7 linked regions of the Callithrix jacchus genome follow. The main gene of each other region encodes a partner of the protein of the gene in region 4 in a complex. Links are inferred from orthologs where the notes say so. Each region holds a gene or a part of one and is shown on either strand. Other genes may lie near its edges. The genes, in order: MAPKAP1, GRB14, SOS1, HRAS, RASGRP4, RASA1 and PLCE1.

Evidence for each region.
Region 1: the proteins of HRAS (region 4) and MAPKAP1 are in contact, whole or in part, in a crystal structure (PDB 7VV8), measured with the Homo sapiens proteins. The link is inferred for Callithrix jacchus from reciprocal best matches to the Homo sapiens genes HRAS and MAPKAP1. Residues at the interface, in NP_001123914.1 of Homo sapiens: Gln25, Asp33, Ile36, Glu37, Asp38, Ser39, Tyr40, Arg41, Leu56, Glu63, Tyr64, Met67; in NP_001006618.1 of Homo sapiens: Glu277, Ser278, Phe280, Ala286, His287, Gly288, Phe289, Ser290, Leu291, Ile292, Gln293, Arg311, Arg312, Lys313.
Region 2: the proteins of HRAS (region 4) and GRB14 are in contact, whole or in part, in a crystal structure (PDB 4K81), measured with the Homo sapiens proteins. The link is inferred for Callithrix jacchus from reciprocal best matches to the Homo sapiens genes HRAS and GRB14. Residues at the interface, in NP_001123914.1 of Homo sapiens: Glu31, Asp33, Pro34, Ile36, Glu37, Asp38, Ser39, Tyr40, Arg41, Tyr64, Met67; in NP_004481.2 of Homo sapiens: Val109, Lys111, Asp116, Glu117, Thr118, Ser119, Arg120, Ala121, Leu122, Asp123, Lys140, His142.
Region 3: the proteins of HRAS (region 4) and SOS1 are in contact, whole or in part, in a crystal structure (PDB 4NYM), measured with the Homo sapiens proteins. The link is inferred for Callithrix jacchus from reciprocal best matches to the Homo sapiens genes HRAS and SOS1. Residues at the interface, in NP_001123914.1 of Homo sapiens: Gly13, Gly15, Ser17, Ala18, Thr20, Ile21, Gln25, Asp30, Glu31, Tyr32, Asp33, Pro34, Thr35, Glu37, Tyr40, Arg41, Asp54, Ile55, Leu56, Asp57, Thr58, Ala59, Gly60, Gln61, Glu63, Tyr64, Ser65, Ala66, Met67, Arg68; in NP_005624.2 of Homo sapiens: Glu589, Lys602, Trp809, Thr810, Lys814, Leu822, Met824, Ile825, Arg826, Thr828, Thr829, Thr832, Glu836, Asn869, Leu872, Val875, Ser876, Asn879, Ser880, Ser881, Tyr884, Ser908, Asp910, His911, Tyr912, Lys913, Leu916, Phe929, Phe930, Gly931.
Region 5: the proteins of HRAS (region 4) and RASGRP4 are in contact, whole or in part, in a crystal structure (PDB 6AXG), measured with the Homo sapiens proteins. The link is inferred for Callithrix jacchus from reciprocal best matches to the Homo sapiens genes HRAS and RASGRP4. Residues at the interface, in NP_001123914.1 of Homo sapiens: Glu3, Gly12, Gly13, Gly15, Ser17, Ala18, Ile21, Asp33, Pro34, Thr35, Ile36, Glu37, Tyr40, Arg41, Asp54, Leu56, Asp57, Ala59, Gly60, Gln61, Glu63, Tyr64, Ser65, Ala66, Met67, Arg68, Asp69, Gln70, Arg73, Thr74; in NP_733749.1 of Homo sapiens: Tyr228, Gly232, Val234, Val244, Asn248, Ser251, Asn288, Met291, Ala292, Gly295, Gly296, Cys298, His299, Ser300, Leu327, Ala328, Ser329, His330, Asn331, Asn332, Tyr333, Ala334, Arg337, Leu351, Gly352, Val353, Leu355, Lys356, Val359, Ser360.
Region 6: the proteins of HRAS (region 4) and RASA1 are in contact, whole or in part, in a crystal structure (PDB 8BOS), measured with the Homo sapiens proteins. The link is inferred for Callithrix jacchus from reciprocal best matches to the Homo sapiens genes HRAS and RASA1. Residues at the interface, in NP_001123914.1 of Homo sapiens: Gly12, Gly13, Ser17, Ile21, Gln25, Asp30, Glu31, Tyr32, Asp33, Pro34, Thr35, Ile36, Glu37, Asp38, Ser39, Tyr40, Arg41, Gln61, Glu62, Glu63, Tyr64, Ala66, Met67, Lys88, Lys117; in NP_002881.1 of Homo sapiens: Gly746, Arg749, Glu783, Thr785, Thr786, Arg789, Ala790, Thr791, Glu799, Lys803, Ser833, Arg894, Gly898, Phe901, Leu902, Arg903, Cys906, Pro907, Leu910, Asn911, Met914, Arg928, Ile931, Ala934, Lys935, Gln938, Asn939, Asn942, Val944, Ala948.
Region 7: the proteins of HRAS (region 4) and PLCE1 are in contact, whole or in part, in a crystal structure (PDB 2C5L), measured with the Homo sapiens proteins. The link is inferred for Callithrix jacchus from reciprocal best matches to the Homo sapiens genes HRAS and PLCE1. Residues at the interface, in NP_001123914.1 of Homo sapiens: Ile24, Gln25, His27, Val29, Glu31, Asp33, Ile36, Glu37, Asp38, Ser39, Tyr40, Arg41, Glu63, Tyr64; in NP_057425.3 of Homo sapiens: Phe2138, Pro2146, Glu2147, Gln2148, Pro2149, Arg2150, Thr2151, Val2152, Ile2153, Lys2154, Lys2171, Tyr2174, Ser2175.

The regions. Positions count from the first base shown.
Region 1 is NC_133502.1:174,287,661-174,291,903, forward strand, and holds the start of MAPKAP1 (target of rapamycin complex 2 subunit MAPKAP1), read right to left. Parts: upstream 2,875-4,243; 5' UTR 2,616-2,874; intron 690-2,615; 5' UTR 630-689; intron 1-629. UniProt on the Homo sapiens protein: Component of the mechanistic target of rapamycin complex 2 (mTORC2), which transduces signals from growth factors to pathways involved in proliferation, cytoskeletal organization, lipogenesis and anabolic output.
Region 2 is NC_133507.1:65,136,517-65,140,164, reverse strand, and holds part of GRB14 (growth factor receptor-bound protein 14), read right to left. Parts: intron 2,084-3,648; coding exon 1,973-2,083; intron 1,782-1,972; coding exon 1,686-1,781; intron 1-1,685. UniProt on the Homo sapiens protein: Adapter protein which modulates coupling of cell surface receptor kinases with specific signaling pathways. Binds to, and suppresses signals from, the activated insulin receptor (INSR). Potent inhibitor of insulin-stimulated MAPK3 phosphorylation.
Region 3 is NC_133515.1:75,898,085-75,902,202, reverse strand, and holds the start of SOS1 (son of sevenless homolog 1), read right to left. Parts: upstream 2,801-4,118; 5' UTR 2,365-2,800; coding exon 2,278-2,364; intron 1-2,277.
Region 4 is NC_133511.1:131,356,632-131,360,767, reverse strand, and holds the start of HRAS (GTPase HRas), read right to left. Parts: upstream 2,818-4,136; 5' UTR 2,686-2,817; intron 1,941-2,685; exon of another isoform or gene 1,847-1,940; intron 1,704-1,846; 5' UTR 1,655-1,703; coding exon 1,544-1,654; intron 1,293-1,543; coding exon 1,114-1,292; intron 991-1,113; coding exon 831-990; intron 737-830; exon of another isoform or gene 655-736; intron 143-654; coding exon 23-142; 3' UTR 18-22; intron 1-17. UniProt on the Homo sapiens protein: Involved in the activation of Ras protein signal transduction. Ras proteins bind GDP/GTP and possess intrinsic GTPase activity.
Region 5 is NC_133523.1:33,997,982-34,001,629, reverse strand, and holds part of RASGRP4 (RAS guanyl-releasing protein 4), read left to right. Parts: intron 1-922; coding exon 923-1,003; intron 1,004-1,102; coding exon 1,103-1,207; intron 1,208-1,350; coding exon 1,351-1,469; intron 1,470-1,563; coding exon 1,564-1,708; intron 1,709-3,382; coding exon 3,383-3,419; intron 3,420-3,540; coding exon 3,541-3,648.
Region 6 is NC_133503.1:123,489,878-123,493,525, forward strand, and holds part of RASA1 (ras GTPase-activating protein 1), read right to left. Parts: intron 3,522-3,648; coding exon 3,444-3,521; intron 699-3,443; coding exon 564-698; intron 484-563; exon of another isoform or gene 1-483. UniProt on the Homo sapiens protein: Inhibitory regulator of the Ras-cyclic AMP pathway. Stimulates the GTPase of normal but not oncogenic Ras p21; this stimulation may be further increased in the presence of NCK1.
Region 7 is NC_133513.1:86,752,881-86,756,528, reverse strand, and holds part of PLCE1 (1-phosphatidylinositol 4,5-bisphosphate phosphodiesterase epsilon-1), read right to left. Parts: intron 1,255-3,648; 5' UTR 892-1,254; coding exon 1-891. UniProt on the Homo sapiens protein: The production of the second messenger molecules diacylglycerol (DAG) and inositol 1,4,5-trisphosphate (IP3) is mediated by activated phosphatidylinositol-specific phospholipase C enzymes.

The sequences.
Region 1 (4,243 bases), on a different chromosome or scaffold from region 4:
ACTGGAAAAGTTATTAGCAGAAACTGGAATTTACCTCTCTTGCCTAGTACTCAGCCCTCACTAACTCTGACCCCTACTGCCCCTCCAACTTTCCATCCTTTACCCTGCTAAAAGAAGCAATGACTTGCTTGACTCAGGCTGTAAACTCATTCACCACTCTAAAACCATACCTCAAGCATTATACCTTTGTATCTTATAGCTATTTATTTTGGGGGACTTTACCATGTACCAGGCCCTCTATCCCCGTTAGTTCAATAAATATTCACAACACTCCATGTGGTATTATTCCCTAACCCAACCCCCAGCTGAAGAAAATGATGCTTGGAGTTATGTGTCAAAGGTCACATATCCAGTAAGAACAGGGACCGGGAATTGAATCCAGACTCCATGCTTATTTTCTATACTGTCTTCTCTGCTCATATTCAAAGCTGAGCTAATCCACCTGCCATCTCCTTGCCCTGGAAGAGCACAGCCTTTGCATTTAAAAGATTTCTGTACCATTCATTTTAACATTCATATGTTTCATCCTGTATACTTTTTTGTTTCAATATTTACTTGCACAAAGAGACAGTGTGAGACAAAGGCAAGACATGTAATGGAAAAAGCACAGATTTAGGCATCAGACAGACCTGGCTTTGAATCCTGGCTCTGTCTGGTACCAGCTGTGTAATTTATTGAGTCTTCCTCATCTGTAAATTGAGGTTAAAATGATTAAACAATAGAAATCCCTATATAATACCCAATACATAGTAAATACTCAAAGTTGAGTTTACCTCAAATTATAAAGCATTACCTGGCCACATCCCATCCCTCAAAAGTGAATAACCCATTCCCCTCCTGGACTACCACTGCCACAACAAGAACTCTCACACAATGTACTTATCACTGTTAGAATTATTAATTTCCCTTATCTCTGTTTCACTACATTGAGCTCCCTGGAAGCAAGGACTGAATCTTATTTATCTCTACACTGTCTAGCATGGTACCTGGCATGTATATATCCATACTTAGTAAACATTTACTAAATTAAATAATTGTAGATAAAATGAGTGCTTATAGAATTCTGTAGGAAAACCATTTCCAGCTGGAGTTGTCGGGAATTGGTTGAGAGCAGCCAACTTCAGCTGAGCCGTGGGAAGCATCTTGATAGAGAAAAGGGGAAACCTAGGCAGGGTAGGGAGAATGTCCTAAAAAATCAATGGAACAAGAAAGAACAAAAGTGACTGAGATCCTACTTAGAGTAATGGATCAGGTAGGGTAATTAAAGAAGGAGACCTTGACCAGACACGGTGGCTCATGCCTGTAATCCCAACACTTTGGGAGGCCAAGGCAGACCACCTGAAGTTGGGAGTTTGAGACCAGGCTGACCAATATGGAGAACCCCATATCTACTAAAAATACAAAATTAGCCAGGTGTGGTGGCGCACGCCTGTACCAGTTACTCGAGAGGCTGAGGCAGCAGAATTGCTTAAACATAGGAGGCGGAGGCTGCAGTGAGCGCCATTGCACTCCAGCCTGGCAACAAGAGCTACACTCCCTCTCAAAAAAGAAAACCTTTTCAAGCATAACTGGGAAGGTAACCAGGAGCCAGATTCCGAGATGTAAGGGAATATAAGTGCAGTCTGGTACACACAGTATTTAAAGTAGGCATGAGCACTCAGCTGAATGGGAAAGGGCTACCAGCATGCTTCACATCCCGCAGCTGTGTGAACTGAAAAACATGAAAACAATTATTGCTTCATCAAGAACTCTTTCAGTGTTTACTAGGCACCTTGTATGGGCTCATAAAATATAAAGAATAAAACGGTACCTCCCATTCTGCTCAAGTGGGTTTTAACATTAGGAATCCACCCCTTCTGCTTGTCAAGAGAATGAGAACGCTGCTTTTTTTAAACCGATGTGTCTCCATTTGACTGTTCACACCTGGGAAAGTTTTGAACTTTGCCGATTTGGGTTTATAACAATATGGTGCTTTGCACAGTGCCAGAAGCTGTGGTGGGCTTCAAAAGTTACTTTTCACTCATTCAAAAGGAAATTTTAACCAATTTCTGGGTTGATTTGGGGGTCTCTGGTTAAAATCATACTCTTGTTTACACCACAAGCTCTTCTTTTCCCCCCGCCTTAAACAAATCTAAAGGACTCCTTGCCACTCCCATAAACAAACAATTGAATCAAAGTTCAGCAGCACTGTAGTTGCGAGGCTGTTAACCCCTTTAGGGCGAGGAGGAAAAGGGACACAAGGAAAAAGGACCACACAGGCAATGCTTGAAAACCTTGATTTTCACATTATAAAGACCAGGGCACCTAGATATTGCCAAGTGCAAGACCAGAAACTGCCGGAGCCAACTGCACCCTCCCCACCCCGCCCCCGCTACTCCCGAACACTACCAGGTCCATGGGCTTCCCTTCCCCTAAATCACACACCCGCCTCAGACTCCTGACAGTCCCCAGTTCTGGTAAAGGCCAGGAAACGGATGCTCCCGGGCCACCTGAGCAGGAGCCCGGCAGGCGGCCCGCTGAGCAGCGCCGAAACCGGAGAGGTGAGAGGGTCGCCAGGTGGGCAAGCTGGTGGGCTGACGGGCGAGCGGGGAGCTGGCGGCTGGGGCAACCTTTACCTGAAGCTGCTTCCACACTACGGGCCGGGTCGGCCCCGGGACACGTTCCTGAGGGGAGGGCCCGGCTCCCCCACGCCTCCCGGCCCCTTCCCCGAGCTCTGCACTCTCGGGATCCACGGGGACCGGCGCTCCTCCCGGCCCGCTCAGCTGCCGCTTCCCGGGTTCGCCCTCATGCCCGTGGTGCTCACAACCGCCGCCGCCGGCCGGCCGAGCAGCAGCCCTATTACCCCAAGCCGCACACGACCCGGAACCACACCCCGGCGCTCCGGAAGTCCCCGACCGGGAAGGAGCCTCTGGCTGGGGACGTAGTGCGCAAGCCCCAGAGCTGAAAGCAAGCGGCCACAGCTTCCCGCGGGGCGGGGCCGGGAGGGAGGCCGGGCGCATGCGCGCCGCTTCTCCAATGCAGGAGAAGGCCTGAGTCTGAGGCTGAATTCTGGCAAGATGCACTCGTGTCTGGATTTGCCTTTAGCAGGAATCAGTGTTACGCTTCTCCATCGAATCTTCTTTCTCCCCATTTCCACGGAGAAAAACCCTTAGTTAGTCCAGAAATGAGTGATGAGGCAGTTTAGCCTCTGTATCAGAAAGACTTAGGTTCAGATATGCCAGCTCTTATAACTTGCTGTGTGTCCTAGGACGTGACAACTCTCCTCTCCGAGCCTCGGGTTTTCCCATCCAGAGCAATAGTTTCAACTTTAGAGTATCCAATGGGATGATGCTTGAAAATCACCCAGCACAGTGCCTGATACATAATAAACATGTAGTCAATGTTAGTTATTTCTCTTATAATACCTGTAATATGGCGGTGATAGTAATCTTCCTCAGGTCCTGCTGGGAGATTTCCATGAGATGCAGGAGGACTGGCACAGGCAGAAGTTAGTGTTGTCTCACGCTGCTCTCTTTCTCTCTCACGGAGGAAATCAGTGGAGAAAGCCACAGTGAAGGGGGAAAAAGGATTCGGGCAGTGCAGTGAGAGTGTTCTCCCACCCGAAAGATGCTCTGGGAAGTCTCTCAAAAAAGCACCGTAGCGTGGCTGGGGGTGGTGGCTCATACCTATAATCCCAGCACTTTTTGAGGCCAAGGTGGGTGGATCACGAGGTCAGGAGTTCAAGGCCAGCCTGGCCAAGATGGTTAAAACCCCCGTCTCTACTAAAGATACCAAAATAAATAAATAAATAAATAAATTAGCTGGGCGTGCTGGTGAGGGCCTGTAATCCAAGCTAATTGGGAGGCTGAGAGGCAGGAGAATCGCTTGAACTTAGGTGGCAGCAGTTGCAGTGAGCCGAGGTTGCAGCGAGCCGGGATTGTGCCACTGCACTCCAACCTGGGCAACAGAGTGAGACTCCATCTCAAAAAAAAAAAAAAGCACCATAGTAAAAGAAAAAAATCAAGGTTAAATTTCAGTCCTGGGGGAACCCTGCCCAATTTTAAAGTCACTAATAAATATGCCATGGGGCCAGGCACGGTGGCTCACACCTGTAATCCCAGCACTTGGGGAAGCCGAGGCAGGCAAGTCACTTGAGGTCAGGAGTTTGAGACCAGCCAGGCCAATATGGTGAAACCCCATTTCTACTGAAATTACATAAATTAGCCAGGTGTGGTGGCTCACACCTCTAGTCCCAGCTACTCAG
Region 2 (3,648 bases), on a different chromosome or scaffold from region 4:
GAAATATACAATGGAATAGTACACAGCCATAAAAAGGAATAAAGAGCTAATATACGCTTCAATGTTGGTGAACCACAAAACATTATGCTAAGCAAAAGTCAGAAGCAAAAGATCACATACTATATGATTCTATTTATATGAAATATCTACAATAGGTAAATCCACACAGACAGAGGCAAATTGTTGATTGCTAGGGCCTGGGAGTAACTGCTTAATGGGTGTGGAGTTTGCTTTTGAGGTGAATAAAATGCTTTGGAACTGAATGCACTAAATGCCACTGAATCACTTAAATTAACAATAGTTTGATTAATTATATATTTTGTGAATTTTGCCTCAGTTAAGAAATTACAAGAATACAAAATAAAACTTTCTTCTAAACCTGCTATGACAATAATTCTGATTATGACTATTCTGTCCTTCTTTACTCTGATCTCTCTTAAGTAGGATGCTAGGAAAATGATAACAGAGAGCAGAAGAGTTAAAAATGGCAAAGGCAGAACAAAAAAAGCACACCTAGAAAATACAAGAACTTCAAATCTATTGAAAAATTTACTGCATCCCCTTCTTCAGGGTAAATGAGACGAGGGAACCTAAAGACTTCACAATGCTCCAACTGTTCTGATTTTCATTTCTAACTATATTGAAAAGCTAGTTTTAGCCACACATTGTTAATAATCTAAATCTTCCTGTGGTGAGAAAAGGAATATATATATAACACACATATAATATGGATAGTCAATATATTGGCAAATTACATTAATGCCTAGGCATAAATGGTAAAAAGTATCTTAGAATATGTTAATGCTTTTATTATAAATCAAAATTTTAATAACAATAAAATATGTATTTTTTTGGCTTCAGCAGCAGTGATACTAACTAATGTGGATAGGTACATTTGGATTGTATCTTTTCAACAACAACAAACATTTTTTAATTTCTTCCCTAATTGTGTATACCAAACCAGTATCTTTAAAAAGAAATCATTGATAATTGTTATAAATATGAATTTTAAGTTTTGCTCAATTTACTGGCAAATAGTTTTCCAAACTAAATGTGTGTTCTATACATTCTGGAAGAAATCAGTTCTGCTTTTATTTCCTATGTGCATCTACTTTTACAATATTGTTACTTATTACAAAATTGTTCAGCAGCAACAAATTATGCTCACGGAAGTTGTAACTTCTACTTAGCACAAGAGTAGTTGTTTAAAAAATATATTCAAGTAAAATTGTGTAATAATTTGAGTCATGCTTATTAAACTAGAAAGCAATTTATATAACACAAATAGAACACAAAACAGTTACATTAAATATCTCAAGGATGGGCACATCTTAAACTATACTTTACCTTGGATCACAGGCAATGTTTTAAGAATGCAGACTAAGTCATGTATAGGAGACATTTCATTCAGTTATACTGGCTAATACCTTCACAAAAATAAAAATCAGAACATCTCTAGAAATGGAACACCTACTCCACACACAAAAGAGAAATGTATTAGGTTATTCCACTCTACTCTGAAAATGTTTATCATTTAGAATGCTAAAAGCACACACATTGGTGGTTATTTTACTTTTTTCTCATGTAGCCACTCAGTAAGACTTCATGTTCTGAAAAACTGATATTTTCTAACTTTTATGGTACTCACAGCATTTAATAGAAATTCATGCCTCCAGCGAGATTACCTTAAGCAATCTAATCGCGGTCACCCAGCACGTCCTACTCTGCTCTTCTTCTGCACAGAGCATTTTCAGGTCTCGGGGCCCTCCCGCTTTGTTAGGCTAGAAGGCCACAGCACATTGTTTATCGTTAATGCATATCTTGAAGGTAACACCTGTTGAAATAAAAGCCACTAAAATTCTCTTATATATAAGAGAAAGCTGTCTCTTTTTAAAAGAAATTAAAAGAAACTCAAGCTTACCTACAAGGCTGAGGCTTGCTTTATTCATCTATCAAAATATTAAGCCTGTACCTTAAAGCAGAATCCATAGTTAGTCGGTGCTCCATGTTTTTTTTTGCCTGCCGGTGACACATAAATATCACTATTGCCAAATTCAGTGAAAAACTGCAAATGCCGCGGTTCCTTAAAAAAAGTATTGAAATTGATACATATTTTTGCATTATATTTTTTGTGTGTTTTTATTATATAATATATACCTTGGGCAAAAACTTATGCCTAACAGAATTTCAGTATGATGCCACAAAAATAAAAGAAGAAAAACAAATATAAGTTACTATATCTTTAACCAGGAGCTGCATACAATTTTATTTAATTTGGAAAGTGACAATTTTGTTTATAATTTAACTTCCAATAATGAAAATAAATTTCTGTTTTAAACTTCCATTTCTCTTTAACCACCCTTTCAAGGAATCTGAGAGAGAAAAAAATGTTAGAAAAGATTGGCTTTGGGACATGTATTGCTTATCTAGGTTTCAAATAATGGTAGCTCAACAAAAGGGAGAAGGTTGGTTTGAGCTTCTGCAGCAGTTAGAGAAGAAAAAAAAGAACAAGACAATGATTCCTGCTTCATTCACACACAATATCCCTCACATTTGTGTACAGCACAACACACCACAGGAAGCAGCAACTGCAGGAATCTCTAACTTTATGAAAAGAAAGAAAGAAAGCAAGCCTGTACAGATAGAGGAGTTCAGGGAAATTAGCTGGCAGCAGAATGTTTCTGATTTTCAAGGCAAAGTGGAATCACGAACAGCTAGCTATTTCTTCTCTGGGAGATCCATGAGATTTAAAACTGGTCATGGGAAATCAGTAGGTCGTATTATTTTGTGATAGGTTAATAACTTGGAGAAGTGCTTAATTCTGAGGTTGAATGTATAATCAAAACTGACCAAAACGCATTTGTTCTCTAAAACCTTGCTGCTAGTAGTGTGGTCTCAGACCAGCAGCATCAGTATCACCTGGGAGCTTGTTAGAAATGCAAACTTTCAGGGCTCATCCCAGACCTACTAAATCAATATCTACATTTAACAAGATCCCAGGTGATTCATAAGCACTAAAATTTGAGGAGCAGTGCTAAAAAAAAACAATAAAAAATATTTAAAAACACCCCACAGAAGAATATTGAGCCAAACAGGCAATCCTATTCAAATCCGAAAACCAAAAGCCTTTTATTGTCACTTACTGGTGTTACTCCACTGCTGATAACTGGTAGAGCAAGAGTCTCTCTGTGTATCACTGTTCTTAAGCATTTTAATCTAATGAATGACTGTAGTTTCAAGAATAAGACAGAAAATTGTTTTAAAAAGACCCAGCATAGGACTCTTGGAACAAGGTAGGAGGAAGGAGAAAGGTACACATATTGCCATGCCTTTTAAAATCTTATTCCTTGATAGAAACTAATTTGAGAGTAAAAATGTCTGATTTCTATGAAGATAAAATAAAACCATCCCTGTCCACTGATGCTGTAGAACTCAGTATAGTTCAGTTATTCAAATGAGAGTATAGGGTAGCTTGAGGAACACTGGAAGAAGAAGCATGATGAGTTTTTTCTCTTGATTGGTTTTTGTTCCGCTACTGCAGACCTGCTAAGGCTTATGGCACTATAAGGCTATGAAACTGTATTGGCATGGTTAGCAAAATGTAAGTATGCGTACATTTGTACAGCTCCCTGTGCGTATGGGCATGGG
Region 3 (4,118 bases), on a different chromosome or scaffold from region 4:
GTCTAGAAGGATGAGTAGTGTTGGATCAGGCAAAGAAAGGTGAGGGGACTAGCATGTCCAAAGAGCCTCAGGTAAGAGTAAGAGAGCACAAGTTGGATGCATCTATAAATAATTCAATAGTGAATCAAAAGAAATCAAGATATGGAGATATCCACATGAAATGTCCAGCAGGCAGGTAAAAATGTAGGTTTGGAGCTACGGACAACATATCCAGATATGAAATACACTGTATTTTCAATCTTGTCTTAGAATCATAGTTATTGGCTATTTAAGAATTGGAAGAACCTTACACATTAGCTAGATTATGTATACTTCCACCTTCTTCTATCACTTACTGCAAAAGTATCTCTACCTTAAATTCAAAAGTTGGTTTACGTAAATAAACAAAGAGGACAAGTGGGGGTTGTGGTAAGGTGGAGATACATGCCTTGTCTAAAGAGGACAACCATTTACTCACCTCCAGCAGTTTAGTGCCTTGCTGGAATACAGGCCCTAACTAGCAAGAACTTCCTATTCTTCAAGAAAAGCTGAAAATTCAGATTTTATGTAATATCTCCCATTTTCAAATGCCAGCAACTAATTACATTTAAAAATAAAACAACACTGTGCCAGCCAAACAAAATGCTTCTAGGGACAGATTTCAGCAAGGGCCACCAGCATGGCAGAATTAAACAAGGTCTGTCAACTCCTACAGTATTCTTCCACTACTTCAAAAGATCCTAAGCTGATAGCTTGGTGATTCCCCCGGGATAGGAGCTGTTTTTGCCTCTAAGCAAAATGGCCCCTATTTGGCAATGCTTTATGAGTTCCTTTACAGGTTTTTAAACAATTTCCCTGTCTTCCCTTACCCTACCTGGACATCAGCTTCTGGCAGCACAGAGACCTCCTAAACCCCTTCCATTACACGCTAAGAAGTCAAACTTGCAGGTAAAGCAAAAGTAAGTAGTGAGAACCTGACGGGATTTCTAAGGATTAAAGTACATAAGACATATGGCGGCTGGGTGCAGTGGCTCACGCCTGTAATCCTAGCACTTTGGGAGGCCGAGGTGGGTGGATCACCTGAGGTCAGAAGTTCAAGACCAGCCTGGCCATCATGGTGAAACCCCATCTTATTTAAAAAAGAAAAGAAAAGGATATATGGCATCTTTTTGGTTTTCTTTAAAAAAAAAAAAAAGAAAAATCACATAGGTGTTCGTGACTAGTCAGACACCTGAAGGGGAAAATGTCAGTAACTTAAGTCAGAAATACATAAGCAAATTCTCCTAACAAACCAAATAGTTTCCACTGTAAGATAGCAAGAGGGACAAGAGAACAGGGCAAAGGGGAAAGTAAAAGTTACTGGCCTTTAAGCACTATCAGACACCTTTTAATGCTTAGCATAAAAGGTACAACATAATCTCCATTCTTAGTAGAAGCAAAACTATATGTTAACTAATTAACATGAAAGAGTCTTCGAGCAGCAAGAAACAGATTTAGAAACACTCTTAGATGAGTAAAGCAATCTTTGTAGAAAAGGTAAATGAAGAAAAGGAAACAAAAATAGTCTAGTACACTGTTGCTCTAGAAGCTTTAAAAATGTAACATTTCCTAATTATACTAAAACATTTAAAAACACAGCAAACTTAAACATACAAAGACTAAAAATTCTTAACAAGCCAAATGACAGCACCAAGAATCTCGAATGCCGCAAAAACAAAACAAAACCCCTGAAATTGGTAGCATGTGCACCAGCCCCTGTTAATCCGAGGAGCAGGGGAGATCAGGAGAACAGAGAGTGATTACTGAGGACGAGCGGAGCAGGCCACGCTCCTGCTGGCAGGCGAGCTCGCAATTCCTTAGAGCAAGCGTTACGGCCAGGGCATTCTCAAGCCACTAAAACGAGCATACTGGACACCTAAAACATGAGGCTGACAACAGCTCCGGGCTAAGACCGAGAAGGCGGAAAAGTGGCCTGCTTTGACCTCCACTGAAAACTGAGGCTTCTCCAACCGTTGTCTCGGAATCAAAGGGCAAAGCATTCACCTCTCGGGGTTGGATTATTCGGAGCAACTGCCCGCGGCTCCCCGCGGCCTTCCCACACTACGGGTGGATGTCAACACTGAGAGCCAGCCGTGTGGGGGACCTCCCCGTGTGCGCCGTCCTTTCGGAGACGCGGCGAGACAGGGAAGAAAGACGGCCCTGCGCGCGCGCCCCGCCTCCCCAGCCCTTCCCCTGCGCCTGCTCGGCGCCCGCGCTGGGGGGCTGCGGCCGGGAAGCGGGGTCCGGCGTGCTCCTCACCTTTTTCAGGGCAGGCACCAGCAGTCCTCGCCACTTGGGCGCGTTCTCTTCGCTGAAAAACTCGTAGGGCAGCTGCTGCGCCTGCATGGTGCCCCCAGGGCGCCTCTGGGCGGGGAGAGGGGCGGCGGCGGCCCGGCCGGGGAGCCGCGAGAGGGCGAGCTCGCTGCGCGGAATAGGGCCGCGGCCCCACCGGACGGCCCGGCCCCCTCCGGGCGCCGCGCAGCCGGGCTAGCCCTGGCGAGGGGGCTGAAGGGCGAGGCCCACGCCCAGCCACCCACCCGACACGGGTACTAGCCGTGGAGAACGAATGCGACCCGGAGGCGGCGGCATCCCGCACCACCGCCCCGGGGCCAGGCCCCCCCGCCCCTCCCTGGCCCGCCGGCGCCGCCCCGGGCGGCCCGCTACACCGCCGCCGCCTGCCGGGGCTGCACTCCCGGGTCCGGCCTGGCCCCGCGGCAGAGCTGGCGGCTGGGGGAGGACGTGTGGAGGGACGCTCTGGCCGCGGCGCCCGCTCCGCGCAGTTGAGACTCCGAAACGCAAGAGCCCTCGGGTGGGGCGGAGCTGGGGGAGGGGGTTTCGCGGGGAAGGGGAAGGACCCGAGGTCGTTGTTGGGGAATCTGGCTGCCCTGAGGTGCCGCCGCTGCCGCCGCCGGTGTAGCGCTGGAGCTTCCTACTAGCAAACTGAACCTGCGCGCTACTGAGCATGCGCTGCCGGGCTGGGCTGGTTCGCTCCGGGTTTTCCGGCTCCCGGTGAAGGAGGAGGGAAGCTGGGGGCGGGGGGAGTGGGGAAGGGAGGCAGGGCGCCTGACCGGGCTGTGGTTGCGCTCCTGGGGACTCCTGAGGAGGGGCGAAAGGGCCCGAGAAATCGAACCCTGGCAAAGTGGGGCCTGCAGAGGGGGTAAGAACTACGGTAAAGAAGCCCCCACTGTGTGGTCTAGCCGTGAGGGCTCCTACCCCTCTCTGAGTCCCTGGGCCTTTCGTTTCGGAAAGGGGCGTGTGTACTTTGTTCCCGAACACAAAGATAAGGACTGCCCAGCACGCAATGTATAGTAAACAGACCGGACAAAATATACAGGTGCTCTGTCTCGAAACCTACTGCTAAGTATCTGCTGGGCAATAGAAGTGATCGCAGTGTTTTTAACTGGTCTTTCCACGTCATCAAGAATAAAATGTGTACATGTAGTATTGATTTTCTGTGTGTGTTAGATTGCATTTGTTCATCTTTTCAACCCTCTCCAAATATGAATTCCAATAAGCACTTTCCTCCAATGGATACTGAGACCTCTTCTAAAGCTCCCAGAACACTGCACTTATTCCTCTCTCAGGGCATTTGGTCTATAGTGTTTTGTATCTTTTGTGGTTCTTTCAACTACATAATAAACTGGAAGGCAGATTTTTTTCACCAGGTCCTCCACACAGAACAGGCACTCAGTGAAAGTGGAATGCTAAAGGACCGGTATATATAAACTGTCCCTCCAGGCCACTGTTTATAATAGTGGCACTTTGTGGCAGACACCTCATGGTTTATCATTAATGATCACTTCTGGAGTATCATCTGATTTAATCCCCATAGCAACCCTATTATTTTCATTTCACCGATAAGAATGCAGTTTAGAGGAACTAGCTTGGGTTGAAGCTGACATTGTGTCCTGCTATTCCTAAGAACAACAGCCAGGATCACGTAGATGAGAAATGTTCAGTGGTTCATAATCTTTACAGGACCTCTGTGAAAATCTGAAAAAGAAAAAAAAAAAAGAAAGTCTTCAGTTATTTCCTTTAAAAATATACAGGCCAGTGGGCAAGGTGGTTCATGCCTTATAATGCCAGCACTTTGGGAGGAC
Region 4 (4,136 bases):
TCTGGGAGACACCTCACCTGTGTCAGGAGAGCACACACTTGCAGCTCATGCAGCCGGGGCCACTTTCGTCGGGAGGGTTCAGCTTCCGCAGCTTGTGCTGCCGAATCTCACGCACCAGCGTGTAAAAAGCATCCTCCACTCCCTGAGAAAAGAGGGATGGCATCAGGGGGGACCAGCCTGGGGCCCCCTGCCTGGGTGAGGGGGGCTCCCTGCTGTGGGATCAAGCCCTGCCTGGCCCGATGCTCCTGACTCCCCCAGCCACGTCCCCAGGCCCACCACACAGACAGGAAGCTGGGCTCTGATCATCTCGAAGCCCCCGGGGCCACCCCCATCACGATACAGCAGTTCCCTCAAAGGTCAGCATGGCCCAGGACCCTCCTGAACTCCAGGGCCAGGGTTTGACCACCCTGCACCCAGCTCTCATCTGAGCAGTGTCCCTGGCAGCCCCACTAAGGGCTCAGAACCAACGGATGCCCATGGGACACTATGGGGCAAAAGGGGCCGGGCCCTAGGGTCACCGCTCCGGCCTGGCTCAGGGCAGCTCTCTCCAAGGACCTCTGCCTCCCCAGAGCTGTGTCGGCCCAGGACTGCAGGGCGTGAGCCCAGGCCCCGGCCCTCGCCTCCCTCACTGCCCTGCCGTCCCGGGAGACTTACAGCGCAAGGGGCCGCTGGGTCACATGGGTCCCGGGGGGTCCCAGAGGGTCCCGGAGCTGGAGCCAGAGCCAGAGCGGCTGCCCTGTGTCAAGGGAGAGGGGTGAGTGAGTGCTGCTCCCTGGCTGGGGCGGGGCGGGCGAGTCCCTGGCTAGCAGCGGGGTGGAGAGCTGGCTCACCTGCCGCGTTTTGGCCGAGGTCTCGATGTAGGGGATGCCATAGCTTCGGGCGAGGTCCTGAGCCTGCCGAGACTCCACGGTGCGTGCAGCCAGGTCACACTTGTTCCCCACCAGCACCATGGGCACGTCGTCTGAGTCCTTCACCCGCTTGATCTGCTCCCTGAGAGACGAAAGGGGAGAGCTGGCAGGGGCTACAGGCACAGCTGCATCCAGGACAAGCACAGAGAAGACAGGAGGCCCCCATCGTCCGGCACGGCCCACCTGGGCCAGCCTCGTGGTTCACCTGTACTGGTGGATGTCCTCGAAGGACTTGGTGTTGTTGATGGCGAAGACACACAGGAAGCCCTCCCCAGTGCGCATGTACTGGTCCCGCATGGCGCTGTACTCCTCCTGGCCGGCCGTGTCCAGGATGTCCAGCAGGCATGTCTCCCCATCAATGACCACCTGCTTCCGGTAGGAGTCCTGCAGGAGGACATGGCTCAGGGACCCCCTCAGGACCCTCCTTGGAGGGAATTCACACTGCCAGCCCCTCCCTCCTACCTCGCATGCCCCTTCTCAGAGGTGCTGAGATGAGGGGCTCCCCTCCTCTGGGGGAAGCAGGAGACAGGCCCACACCACCATACAGGGCCAGGAGCTGCAGCCACCCCATCCTGGCCGTGTTCTGGGCCCTCCCACAGCGGCTGTGGAGGCCTGGACAGCGAGGCCAGGCTCACCTCTATCGTGGGGTCATATTCATCCACGAAGTGGTTCTGGATCAGCTGGATGGTCAGGGCACTCTTTCCCACGCCACCGGCGCCCACCACCACGAGCTTATATTCTGTCATCGCTCCTCAGGGCCTGCAGCCCGGGGTGCTGCAGGGTCTCCTGCCCCACCTGCCAAGGAGGGCCCTGCTCAGCCAGGCCCAGGCCCCACAGGGCAGCTGCTGGCAGGGCCATCTGAAGGGCAAACCCACAGAGGGCCCTGGGCCCCAACACTGGGGCGGCAGCGGTGGCAGCAACGACAGCAGCGTGCCTACCTGCGCGGCTGCGACCCCGCGGGTGGGGGTGTCGTCTTGTCCCCGCCTGCTCTTAATGACCCAGTGAGGCGAAAGGGAGCCGGCCCCCAAAGGCAGGGCTGACCGCTGAGCACTCTCAACCACGCACCCAAATTAGAAGCTGCTGGGTCGGCAGAAAGGCTAACGCCAGGCGCCCGAGGGCTGAGGTTACCGTCCCCCGGAACAGGTCTGGCCACGGCGGAGCGCGCCACGGCGTGCCCGGGCAAGCCAATGCCAGCCCGCAGGCCCCGCGGCGCTGGTGCCTCGGACAAGTATTTGCTGAGCGCCTACTGCGTGCCAGGTGCCGCTGGGGGGAGGGCAGACCCGGGCAGCGCCCCGCGCCCCCGGCGGGGATCCCGGGCATCCAGCAGAAGAAAGCTGGAGAAGACGGACGGGCAGGGCTCCCGGGAACAGGGGCCGAGAGGCGGCGCGGGAGCCCCGGAGGGGGCAAGGCCCTGGGGCTGAGGGCCCCGGCCTGGCCCACGACCTGTGATGCTGAATGCGGGTGCCCGGGCGGGCCGTGGCCGCCTCCGCCCAGACGCGCCGGGCCCGAGGCTCCAGGGGACGCCGGCGTGGGGACCGCGCTCAGCGCGAGGCCACGGGCGGGGCTCCGGCTCCCGCAAGCCCCAGGGAGGACGGGGTTCGAGCTCGCCCCCGCCCCCGCAGCCCCCGACGCAGGCTCACCTGTGCCCGCGGCCCCCGCCCGCCCGCCGCAGCCGGTCACGCCCGCCAGCCCCGCGCCCCCGGCCCGCGCCGCGCGTAGAGCCGCCGCCTGGGGGCGGGGAGAGCGCGCCGCCCGGCAGACCCCCGCCCGCACTCACCGCTCACTGGCGCGACTGCCCCCGGGGCCGGGGCCGGGGCGGGGCGGGGCGGGGGCGGGGACGCGCGACTCGCCCCGCGCATGGGCTCCGTCCGCGGCGGGTGCGGCTCGGGCTGCGGGCGGCGAAGACTCTGCCGGGCCCGCGCACGCCCCGCCCCGCGCCCGTCCGTCAGCCCGACGCGGCCTACCATTGGCCGCGCTCCAGGGGGCCCCGCCCCGCCCCGGTTGGCTGAGCGGCCCGTCTGTCAGGAGCCGCCGTCGGGCGGGGCTTCCGGGAGCAACGCGGGAGGTGGAGCCAGGGGGACCGAGGCCTCGCTGGGAGGCCTCGCTGGGGTGGGCTCGACCGGCGCGCGGAGCCGCGCTGTGGGGTGCACGAGGAGGGCGAGGAGCCGGCGTCTGGGACCCCCGGACTCTCCCAGGAACACGCCGGTGAGAGAGCCCGACTCAGCGGCGCCCGTGGCTCCGAGCCCTTCCCTGCGCGGCGCCGCCCACCGCGGAGGTCTCTGGGCTCCGGGCTGAGAAAAGGCCGGGATCCACCGGGACCAGGGCCGGCCGCTCGGAGCTGGGGACCCCCGAGGCCGCGCCCTCCGGTTGCCCGGCTCCCCTTCCGCGCAGCTGGAGCGGTGCGCTCGGCGCCTCCCCCGTGCACACCCCGGCTCCCCTGGTCCGCCCGCAGCCCACCCCGATCACGGCCCCTCCACCGCCTTCCTCTAACTTGGGCCTGCTGAGAGGCGACCCTGCCCGCCCAGTCCCCCCAAACTTGAGGGTCCAGTTAAACCGCAGCCAGGAATTGCCGTCGGGGAGCGAAGTGCCCGGGGCCCACCCCAAGCAACAAAAGCGCACGTCCCAGCTCCTTTCAGACTCAAAAGGGCGTGTTTTTAACATCTCTTAACATTGCAAAGGAATTAGAAACACATCATCAATAAAAAACAACAGGCGGGCGGGGCGCGGTGCTCAGGCCTGTAGTCCCCGCACTCGGGAGGCTGAGGAGGGCGGATCACCCGAGGTCAGGACTTCAAGACCGGCCTGGCCAATATGGTGAAGACCCGTCTCTACTAAAAATACAAAACATGAGCCGGGCGTGGTGGCGCTTGACTGTAGTCCCAGCTACTCGGGAGGCTGAGGCAGGAGAATCGCTTAAACCCCGGAGGTGGAGGTTGCGGTGAGCCGCGATCGCGCCATTGCGCCCCAGCCTGGGCAACGGAGCGAGACTCTGTCTCCAAAAAAAAAAGGGCGGGTGGTTTAGTCCCGCAAACCCTGCCTCTGCCGGGCCCTAGCGCCCGCCCCGCCGCCACGCCCTCCCGCGCTGGTCGCTGCTATCCCCGGGCTCCACCCACGGGGGGTCCCGGGGGTCCCGCCTGTCGTCCGTCCACTACGCGGTCGCAGTCAGCGCCCGGCTGGGGAAGGACGCGCGTGGACGCGGCCAAGAGGCGGCGTCCGGTCTGTTTCCTG
Region 5 (3,648 bases), on a different chromosome or scaffold from region 4:
TGGGCATGGTGGCGCGTGCCTGTAATCCCAGCTACTCGGGAGGCTGAGATAGGAGAACTGCCTGAACCCAGGAGGCGGAGGTTGCGGTGAGCCGAGATCGGGCCATTGCACTCCAGTCTGGGTAACAAGAGCGAAACTCCGTCTCAAAAAAAAAAAAAAGACAGTATATGGAGCAGATAAGTTACTATATAAGTAACATGTTTCTTCCCCACTTCCCCTAGTGACTCAACTGTCCATTGATCTGAGCTCTGGAATTGCTGTGGGGTTCACATTTTTTTTTTTTTTTTTGAGACTTAGTTTCACTCTTGTTGCCGAGGCTGGAGTGCTGTGATGCAGTCTCACCTCACTACGACTTCTGCCTCCAGGTTCAAGGAATTCTCCTGCCTCAGCCTCCGGAGTAGCTGGAATTACAGGCATGTGCCACCATGCCCAGCTAATTTTGTATTTTTAATAGAGACAGGGTTTCTCCATGTTGGTCAGGCTGGTCTTGAATTCCCTATGTCAGGTGATCTGCCCACCTTGGCCTCCTAAAGTGCTGGGATTACAGGTATGAGCCACCGCGCCTGGCCTGGGGTTCACATTCCTAAATCCCAAGGTTCTGAGCTTCTCATGATGATAACCCCAAATCTCAAACTTTGACATATCCAAGAATCTAAGCAAAAGGCTAATAACAATTATTCATCATTGCCTATGTGCCAGGAGCCTCATTCCATCTTACAACCTTATGAGGTTGGGACCCTTACTGTATCCATTCCGTGAACTGGGAAACTGAGGCCCAGAGAGGTGGAGTCACTTGCTCAGTCCCACAGCAGTAATGCTAGGATTTGACCCCAGGAGGGGCTTTGAGAAGAGCCTGCAAATGGGTGTGGGGGCCGGGCGGGGCTGTTGATAGACGGAGCTGTAATACTCCTGTCTGCTGCAGCTCTCCCTGGACCTCTTCTACACAGAGGACGAGATCTATGAGCTCTCTTATGCCCGGGAGCCACGCTGTCCCAAGAGTCTGGTGAGACCCAATCCCTAACCTGGGACCCCCTCCTACAATTACTTCCAACTCCCCTGAGCCTATGCAGTGACTAACTCTGCCCCTCTGTCCCTGCCCCAGCCACCCTCCCCCTTCAAAGCTCCTCTGGTGATGGAGTGGGCCCCTGGTGTGACATCCAAGCCGGACAGGGTCACACTGGGTCGGCACGTGGAGCAGCTGGTGGAGGTGAGGAGGGGAGGGTGGCCTGGCCACCAGGAGCCAGGAGGGAAGACATCTGTAGAACCCTGAGCCTGGAGGTGGGGACTTGCAGCCCTGGGGAGCATAGTTCCCTGACTGGGCCTTACCTGCTTCCCCACACTCCTCTGAAGTCCGTGTTCAAGAATTACGACCCTGAAGGCCGAGGAACCATCTCTCAGGAGGACTTTGAGCGGCTCTCAGGCAATTTTCCCTTCGCCTGCCATGGGCTTCACCCACCCCCACGCCAGGGGTGAGTGGTTCTGGCTCCTGGATCACCCGAAGATGACTCCCAGGTCTGGGGGAGTTTGGGGCCGGTCATGCTGAGGCTCACTTTCTGTCCCTAGGAGAGGCTCCTTCAGCAGAGAGGAGCTGATGGGGTACCTGCTCCGGGCCAGTGCCATCTGCTCCAAGCTGGGCCTGGCCTTCCTGCACACCTTCCATGAGGTCACCTTCCGCAAGCCTACCTTCTGCGACAGCTGCAGTGGCTTCGTGAGCACTCTGCCTCATCACCACTCTTAGGTTCCATCTGTCCTGGAGCCGGCAGCCCCAAGCCCCAGAAAACCCCCAAATTCCAGAAATCCTCCAGCCTCGAATTATCCTGTTTCATATAAACCCTAAACACCAGACATTCCCTATATCCTGGATAATCTCCAAATGCCAGAGAATCCCCAAATCCCAGATAATCCACATCCCCAGAAAAATCACTGAATCACGGATAATATCTAAAACTCTAGATAGGAGGTCAGGAATGGTGGCTCACGCCTGTAATCCCAGCACTATGGGAGGCTGACGTGGGTGGATTGCTTGAGCTCAAGAGTTCAAGATCAGCCTAGGCAACGTAGCGAGACCCTGTCTCTTCTAAAAGTATAAAAATTAGCCACATGTGGTGGTGCACACCTATGATCTGAGCTACTAGGGATCACAGAATTGCTTGAACCCAGGAGGTGGAGGTTGCAGTGAGCCAAGATTGCACCACTGCACTCCAGCCTGGGTGACAGAGGGAGACTGTGTCTCAAAAAAAAACTTGGATAATCTCCAAAACTGGGTGGACTATGTTCAAACAGCATCATCCTCCAAATCTCTAGACTCCAGTTCATTCCAACCCTGAATAATTTCCAAATTCAAGATATCTTCATACTCTGGCTAGTGGATCAGTCTCTCAACCTCTAACCAGAGACTAATTCACAAACCCTGGATTACTTCCCACATTCATTTATTTATTCACGAAATAATTACTGAGCACCTCCTGTGTGCCATGCAATCTAAGGCTGTGGGGATAAAGTAGGAATACAGCAGATAATTCCTGCCCAAGGAATTTGCATTTTAGGCCAGCTGGGATCACTTGAGGTCGGGAGTTCAAGACCAGCCTGATTAGCATGGAGAAACCCTGTTTCTACTAAAATTACAAAATTAGCCGGGCATGGTGACACATGCCTGTATTCCCAGCTACTCGGGAGGCTGAAGCAGGAGAATCAATTGAACTCAGGAGGCTGAGGCAGGAGAATTGCTTGAAACTGGGATGGTGACCCTGTAGTGAGCCCAGATCAAGCCACTGCACTCCAGCCTGGGCAACAAGAGCAAAACTGTGTCTCAAAACAAAACAAAAATTGCATTTTAGTAACTTGAAATTTTAACTAAATCTAATATCCTAGGTGATTCTCTAAACTTGAGATAATCTCCAAGTTCCCTTTATTTATTCTGTTAAAAGATGAAAGATGGTCTTGCTCTGTCACCCAGGCTGGAGTGGAGTGGTGTGATCGTGGTTCATTGCAGCCTCCAACTCCTCTCACTTCAGCTGATCCTCTTACTTCAGCCTCCCAAGTGGCTGGGGCTACAGGTGTACGCCACTATGCCCAGCTAATGGCTAATTTAAACAATCTTTTTGTAGAGACAGGGTTCTCCCTATGTTGCCCAGGCTGGTCTTGAACTCCTGGACTCAAGCGATCCTCCCACTTTGGCCTCCCAACCTCTCACCTTGGCCTTTCGAAGTGCTGGGATTACTGGCATAAACCAACTGTACCCCACCCACATTCCTTTAATTACAATTAAATCTCTAGCCTTGAGAATTTCAAAACCTGGGTAGCTTCCACACTTCCACTCCCCAGCTGCCCTGCCAATCCACAGCCCTCCCTCTCTGTAACCTTTTCTGGTTTCTCTTCCCAGCTCTGGGGTGTCACTAAGCAAGGCTACCGCTGTCGGGGTGAGTGGGGCATCAGCGAGTGGGAGGGAAGCCTTGGCCCACGGGCTGGAAGAACGCACGGCACAGATTGGACATCCGGCCATTAACTGCTGCCTTCCCATTAACTGCTGCCTTCCCCCAGAGTGCGGTCTGTGTTGCCACAAACACTGCAGAGACCAGGTGAAGGTGGAGTGTAAGAAGAGGCCAGGGGCCAAGGGCGATGCCGGGCCCCCCGGAGCCCCTGTCCCAC
Region 6 (3,648 bases), on a different chromosome or scaffold from region 4:
CTGTATCTGGTTAGTGCAGATGGCAGACAGAAGTCTATGTAAGTCTACTGTTTCCCAAAGTGTAGGCCATGGGTCACTTGCATGTGAATCCCTATAAATTCCTGTAAGAGTTTGTTAGAAGTGCAGTTTTCAAGGCCACGCTTCAGAATCTCTGGATGTGAAATCTGACAAACATCCCAAATAATAGTAATTTGTTTCACAATTTCAGAATCACTTTGGTTATGCACTGTATCTGTATATGACAGAAGACACAAACTGAAAAAAAATCAATACTGACTTACTAGCAGTTTTCACATATGCCACCAAAGTATATTAACAATGTTTTCCCATACAATCAACATTCAGACTTAAGAGCAAAATCAGATGTTTTTCAGTTTTAAATGTACATCATTTTAGTTTGGGCCTGTTATTTCTGTCTGCTGAGATCTTTTGTTATATGATTCAGAGTCTCAAAAATTTAATATAACCAGATAAAAATGTTAACCAGAATTCAGCTGTTTATTACCTCTCAAGAGTGTTAACCCTTGAAATGTCGCTGATAATGAAGGCTGGCAAACACTTACCTGCTGTGCACCACGCTCATTACTGAGTGTTCGAAGTTCATCTGAATGAGCCACACAAATCTCATGCAGTGCTGCTAAATCACGGGACAGGTCAGTTCTAGGATGCTCTGTAGTGTCCGGAAGTTCAGGCACATTCTTGAAGGGAATCATAAAATTGCATTTAGAAATACAAAAAATAAAAATCTTATTTTTTTTTTTGAGATGGAGTTTCACTCTTGTTGTCCAGGCTGGAGTTCAATGGCATCATCATGGTTCACTGCAACCTCCGCCTCCCAGGTTCAAGCAATTCTCCTGCCTCAGCCTTCTGAGTAGCTGGGATTACAAGAACCCACCCCACCATGCCTGGCTAATTTTTTGTTAGGAATACAAATCTTTATAGTCTCATGTGAAAAGATTCTAATCGGGTATTTTAGATAATTTTTTTTAATTCTCAGATTTCTCTTAAAATTCTAAAGATTCTTACTGAAACATTCAGCATTGATTATGGTATAAACTCTGTAACCTTTCTATTCATATGAAAGCCAGATTCCATTTTCTTCCACAGAATGGCAGGATATGGTACAATATTATTGCTATTCTAAAAATAATGGTGGAGGGTGTGGCTTCATAACAATTTATATCTGAAATCTAGAACATATACCAAATAGTATAGGTTAACTGTTAATCTGGATTAAATTCAACCTAAACTTAAAATTCCTAGACTAAATTCCATTATTAAGCTCCTGTAGTTAGTCCGAATTGATCTGTATATAAGTAGGAGCTGCACTATGAAAATGCAATGAGAATATGTCAGGTTTGCAATTATCTGTGGACTCTGCTCAGAATGCTTGCTAACATGTGGGAATAATCAGTGTTAATTATGATACTTTTAGATAAGGTTCATAAAGTAACTTAAGTCACTAGAATTAAAGTTTATCGTATAGGTTGAATATCACTTAACCCAAAATGCTTGGGACTAGAAGTGTTTAGGATTTTGGAATATTTATCTGCAGTATACTTGCCAGCTGAGTATCCCCAATCCAAAAATCCAAAATTGGAACTTCCAAGTAGCCTTTCCTGTTGGTGCTCAAAAAGTTTTGGCTTTTTTAGCATTTCAGATTTTGGATTAGGGATACTCAACCTGTACCATTATCAATACTAAATGCCAATGCTACTTTAAGCCTTGGAATAACATTTAGCAAAGGCTTGGGTTACCAGTAAAATGGGGACAATATTTGCCTAACATTACTAAAAACTGCAAAACAATATTTTCTATAGAATAAACAGTTATGCAGAATACACTCATTTAGTGATTCAAGTAAAGGATTACAGAGATGACATACACCAAGTTTGCCTTCAGAGAGCTGACTCTAGTAGAAAGGCCTTTAGAAAAGTAACTGTAGCAACAGAGTTATGTATTGCAGGTATGCAGGGGATACTTAGGAGGTAAAACAAAAGTTACAAATTTTATTCATCTTTGGGGCTCAGCAAAAGCTTCCTGAAGGAGATAATAATCAAGGTGGGTCATCAAAAGTGAATTTGGTTTATATGGATGGTGAAAAAATCAGAATATTATATTTGGATTCTAAGCAGTATGAAATCCTAGATTGTTTGGCATAATTTCTCACACAGCTCCTTTTAAACATTACAGAAAAATGGTTTCAAATGATTGACCACTTATATCCCAGTTCACATATAGAAGAATGAACTTATAGCATTTTTGTCAATTTCACAATAAAGATAGAGCTATGCCATAATTTTTCATATACTTGTTTTTATACCTGAGGTTGCAAACCTGTGACCTACATGCATTCCTGATTTGTTTGCCACAGTGGTATGGTTGTGGTGGTCTTTTTTTTTTTTTTTTTTTTTTTTGGAGACTAAGTTTCGCTCTTGTTACCAGGCTGGAGTGCAATGGCACAATCTCGACTCACCGCAACCTCTGCCTCCTGGGTTCAGGCAATTCTCCTGCGTTGGCCTCCTGAGTAGCTGGGATTACAGGCACGTGCCACCATGCCCGGCTAATTTTTTTTTGTATTTTTAGTAGAGACGGGGTTTCACCATGTTGACCAGGATGGTCTCCATCCCTTGACCTTGTGATCCACCCGCCTCGGCCTCCCAAAGTACTGGGATTACAGGCGTGAGCCACCGCGCCCAGCCGTGGTGGTCTTTTTAACTGAATCTGAATGCATTAAGATGGAAGATGGACACCCCAGTCTCCAATCCTGGCACTCCCTAATGCCACGCCATATACCTGGCTCTATTCATGTGTACATGTACCTTCCTGGTTTCTCTTTATATGAACTGAATTACTAATAAGTTTAGTTTGGCTTAAAATTGACTCAGTACCTGAAAATACAATCATGAAAATTTAACTTAAGAAATGCAGGGTCCTAGAAATTACAAAATATCCTCATTCATAATTTTGTAATCACAGTTTATTAACAAGGCCCAAATGAGGCATTGGTATTCACACTCAATGAAGCATAACACCAAATTCATGTCTTTTATTCTAGAAAAGAACACTCTTCAGTCTATTTATTTAACCTGGTCAGAACTCTGTCATTGTCTTGCTTCAAGCCCCACATAGTAGCAGCAAAGTAGGACTCAACAGAATGTCATGGCAGTCAGATATGATAGCTTTAAAAGGATATGAAAGGCAAGACAGACCCTAAAATATGATGAAAGTAGTCCAAAAGCCAAGAGTAATGTATGCTTTGGTGTTAACTATTAATTACAAACAAAAATGCACTGTTTTATTTAGGAAGGCAGACAAAAATTTGCAGGCTTTTTGTCTTTTTAGTTCTGGATGGAAAAATCTTTCTAAAGGTTGCTGCTTAAGTGGGTTAACTCAGCTATACTAACTATAAATTTTAAAGTACCTAAAAATTATATACATACCCCAAGTTCATCTAGAAACATGATCATACGATGTTTGTTGCTTTTGATGAATGGATTGACACCTTCCATGTAGGGCTCCTAAAAAATAAAATGCCTCTATTATATGCACCAGAAACAAACATCACTGTTTCATCTATCAGATTGGTGCAAAAGTAATTGCTGTTAACAGCAATTCACAAGGATTAAATCATATAATGACAGTATT
Region 7 (3,648 bases), on a different chromosome or scaffold from region 4:
CAAAAAGGTCTTGGCAGCTTGACTGTCACTAAAATCTTCCCTGGAAAAACTATCACTTGAATATACCAGATCAACCTTCTGGCAAGAGCCTTCAAAGCAAAAGTATTTTTCATTCAAGGTGTCACAATGATCACACTGCAACTGCTCATTCTTACTATCACAATTTTTTGCCAATTCCATTAGTTTACAGGTATATGCCACATAGTTTTTCTTTTGCTTCTCCTCACCCCTGGGTAGTGGTACACAATTTCCACAGTCATCTAAAATTAACTTTTCTGACAGGGTACAGAAAGTGTCTGACATTCTTCTGTCAACTTCATAATGAAAATGAAATACTGCCGTGCTGCTGTCAGGGTGTACTCTGTCTGTCTCTAGGATCGTCGACTGATTTCCCAAAGGACTAATGTCCATGGGAGGTCTGTCTAGTTCCAGTTGAATTCCAGGGAACACCGTTCTTCCCAGTGGAGAAGGAATTCCAGTTTCTAAACACAGGTCTTCCTCAGCAACAGAGTTGCGCATTTCATAAAACTGTCTCTGAGGAAGGCTATGCTGATGGTTTCTCAATATGTTGTTGCAGTTAATGTTAAGGTTTTTCACAGAATCTGGCATGCTTTTCTCCCAGCATTTTTCATTACTGTTCTCATCACTCACTATTTTCTCCCTTGCTACTGAGAGAATCTCTGGCAAGTTGCTTCCAGAAGATTCTTCTCTAAGTTTGTTCAGTCGTGAGATGGTATGAGAAGTCTGCTCAGTCTGTCTGACAGTATGTGCTTTTGGAATATTGATATCTGAGACCTTTTCACTACTTTCATCTGAAGCTGACTGGGCAGAAACAACTTTTCTCTGAGTCACAGGTATGAGAACAGAAGCTGTCATTTCTTCAGAAGTCATCTTGGACTAACACACAGGTTCCAGCTATTGCTCTATTTCTCTTCCCTGGTGATCATGTCAAGGTTTTAATAAAATGACTCATTATTATGACAATCTTAGACATACAACTCCTCCCAAGAAACAAAGGGATAGTTCCTTTCATTCAGGTGCATTAAGAGGAAAATAATTTTTCTCAATTATAACTTCTTATCATGAATATATATTTTTCTAGATCAGAGTTTTAAGATGGTAGATCAATTTTCTTTTCTCTGTTATCTGAAGCAAAATTTTTTGAAGACTGTTACTCAGGCTTGCACTCTGCAACTTCTGATACATCATTGACTTGCAATGATTTAAAAATCCAGTTTGAATGATTCCTGCATCCTGTAAGAAAAGAGATAATGTCAAACCACTGTGTCACTCAGTGAGTTTTTTTAAAAAATGAGCTCACACTCCCAAGATGTAGACAAATTTTGAGAAAAATGGTTGTTTTGTAATCAGAAGTTGGTTTTTATGTTTTTAGCAGTTATTTTTTTATTTAATATTTTAGAACTTCTGCTCCCAGCCAAAATGGAGTAACAAGGGCAGATTTATTCATCCACCTTAAATAACTAAAAATAAAAATTAAGAAAAAAATGGTTCTCAGACACTGAACAACAGGCAACACAGACATTGATCTCTGAAAGAAAAAAAAAAATGAAGTGAGTCCTAAAATGTCCTGGCTGGCTTACTTCTTAGAAAATTTCCAGGCTACAAGGTAGAAAAAGGAAACTCAGCTAAAATCCAGCTATTTACCTGCGTAGAAAAGAAAAAGTTGAGACTTCAGGAAGGCCGAGGAAGCTAGAGAAATAAGGCACATTAAGTAAAGAGGCACAGAGATAAGAATGGTGGCAGACATTTAATCAGAAACAATGCAAGCCAGAAGACAGTGGAGTAAATCTTCAAAGTACTGAAAGAAAAACTACTGTCAACTTCAAATTCTATACCCAGCAAAAATATCTTCTGCAAATAAAAATTAAGTAAAATATTTTCCAGACATATAAACCTGAAATAATTGGTAACTAACAGAACTGAACTGCTTGTAACTATTAATAGAGAGGGAATAAAACAATTTTCTATCCAATGTGGAAACACAATTATAAAGGATATACAAGACACTATGGGATTAGAGGGTGCTCATCATAAGCATGTCATTCTTTTTCAGGTAAAGCTGTTCCTCCCAAGACAAATAATGAGCAGTCACACTCTGCTGTCAACACCAGCTTGGCCTTGCCTTTTCTCTTTGTCAAATAGATATCTTTCTTTCCCTTTCTTCTCCCATACCCTCTTTCCCCAAAGAGTCATCAGCTCTCCCTTCTTTCCTTCCATATGTTTCCCTCAAGCACAAACACAGCTTCTCAGGTGAGAGGCTCCCAGTATATGCATATCTCTACAACTACTCTAAAAAAATCAGTGGACACTCTAGCATTCATATCTTTACAGGGAATAAACCAGCCCACACAGAGCAGCAGTGTCCTAGCTTAGCATCCTAATGAATCCTACCACACAGCAATAACTATTATCATTACTTTAAGAAACCTCCTTCCAGAACACTCCCTATGAATCAACATACATAGGGATATATGTATTTAACTATGCAAATACCAGATAATATTGGGCATTCTGTTCTGTACCTGCTTTAAAAATTCAAAGCATACCATGAACAACTTCTTAGGTGAAGAATTATATAGATAACTTTAATGGCATATGGCACTAACTTGAATTCAAATATTTGTTCTAATTTTTAAAGAGATTTTTCAGGCCACAGCCTTCAGATTGATGGCTAATATGTCCTTTCTTACCCATGAGGTAAATAAATTGAAGTTGGAGAGAGGGAAAACATTTTGGTGCTGTCTAGTTCCTGTCCTAAGGATGTTGCAATTATTTTTGTTAGCATTACAATTATCATCATCATTATAATTTTGAGACAGAGTCTCATTCTGATACAGAGTCCCAGGCTGAAGTACAGTGGCCCAATCACTACTCACTGCAACCTCTGCCTCCTGGATTCAGCAGTCACATACTGTTCCTTCTACCATATTCTCTATGTTAGAGGGAAATCACTAAGTATAATCCACATTCAAGGGGAACAGAATTAGGCTCTACCTTTTGAAGGGAGAGTATCAAAGAATTTGTGGACATATTTTAAAACCAGTCTGGGTTCAAGTGATCTTCCCACCTCAGCCTCCCAAGTAGGTGAGACTACAGCACAGTGCTTGGCTAATTTTTGTATTTTTTGGTAAAGACAGGGGTTCATCATGTTGGCCAGTCTGATCATGAACATCTGGGCTCAAGCAATCCTCCCACCTTAGCCTCCCAAAGTGCTGGAATTACAGGTGTGAGCCATTGTGCCTGGCAACTCTGCAATTATTATCTCGCATAATTCTCACTCAATGCTGCGAGATAGTATGATGGTTTTAAAATATGTCCACAAATTCTTTGATACTCCTCTCTTCAAAAGGTGGAGCCCAATTCCCCACCCCTTGGATGTGGGTTATACTTAGTGATTTCCCTCTAACATACAGAATATGGTAGAAGGAACAGTACATGACTGCTGAGAATGAGTCATAAAAGTCATTGGAGCTTCCTCCTTGCTGCTCCTCTCTCACATGCTCTGAGGGTAATCTGCTGCCATATTGTTAAGGAGAGATCCCTGTGACAAGTATGAAAGGTTCTTGATAACATCCATGTGAGTGTGAGCCATCTTGGAAGTGAATCCTCCAGTTATAGTCAAGACTT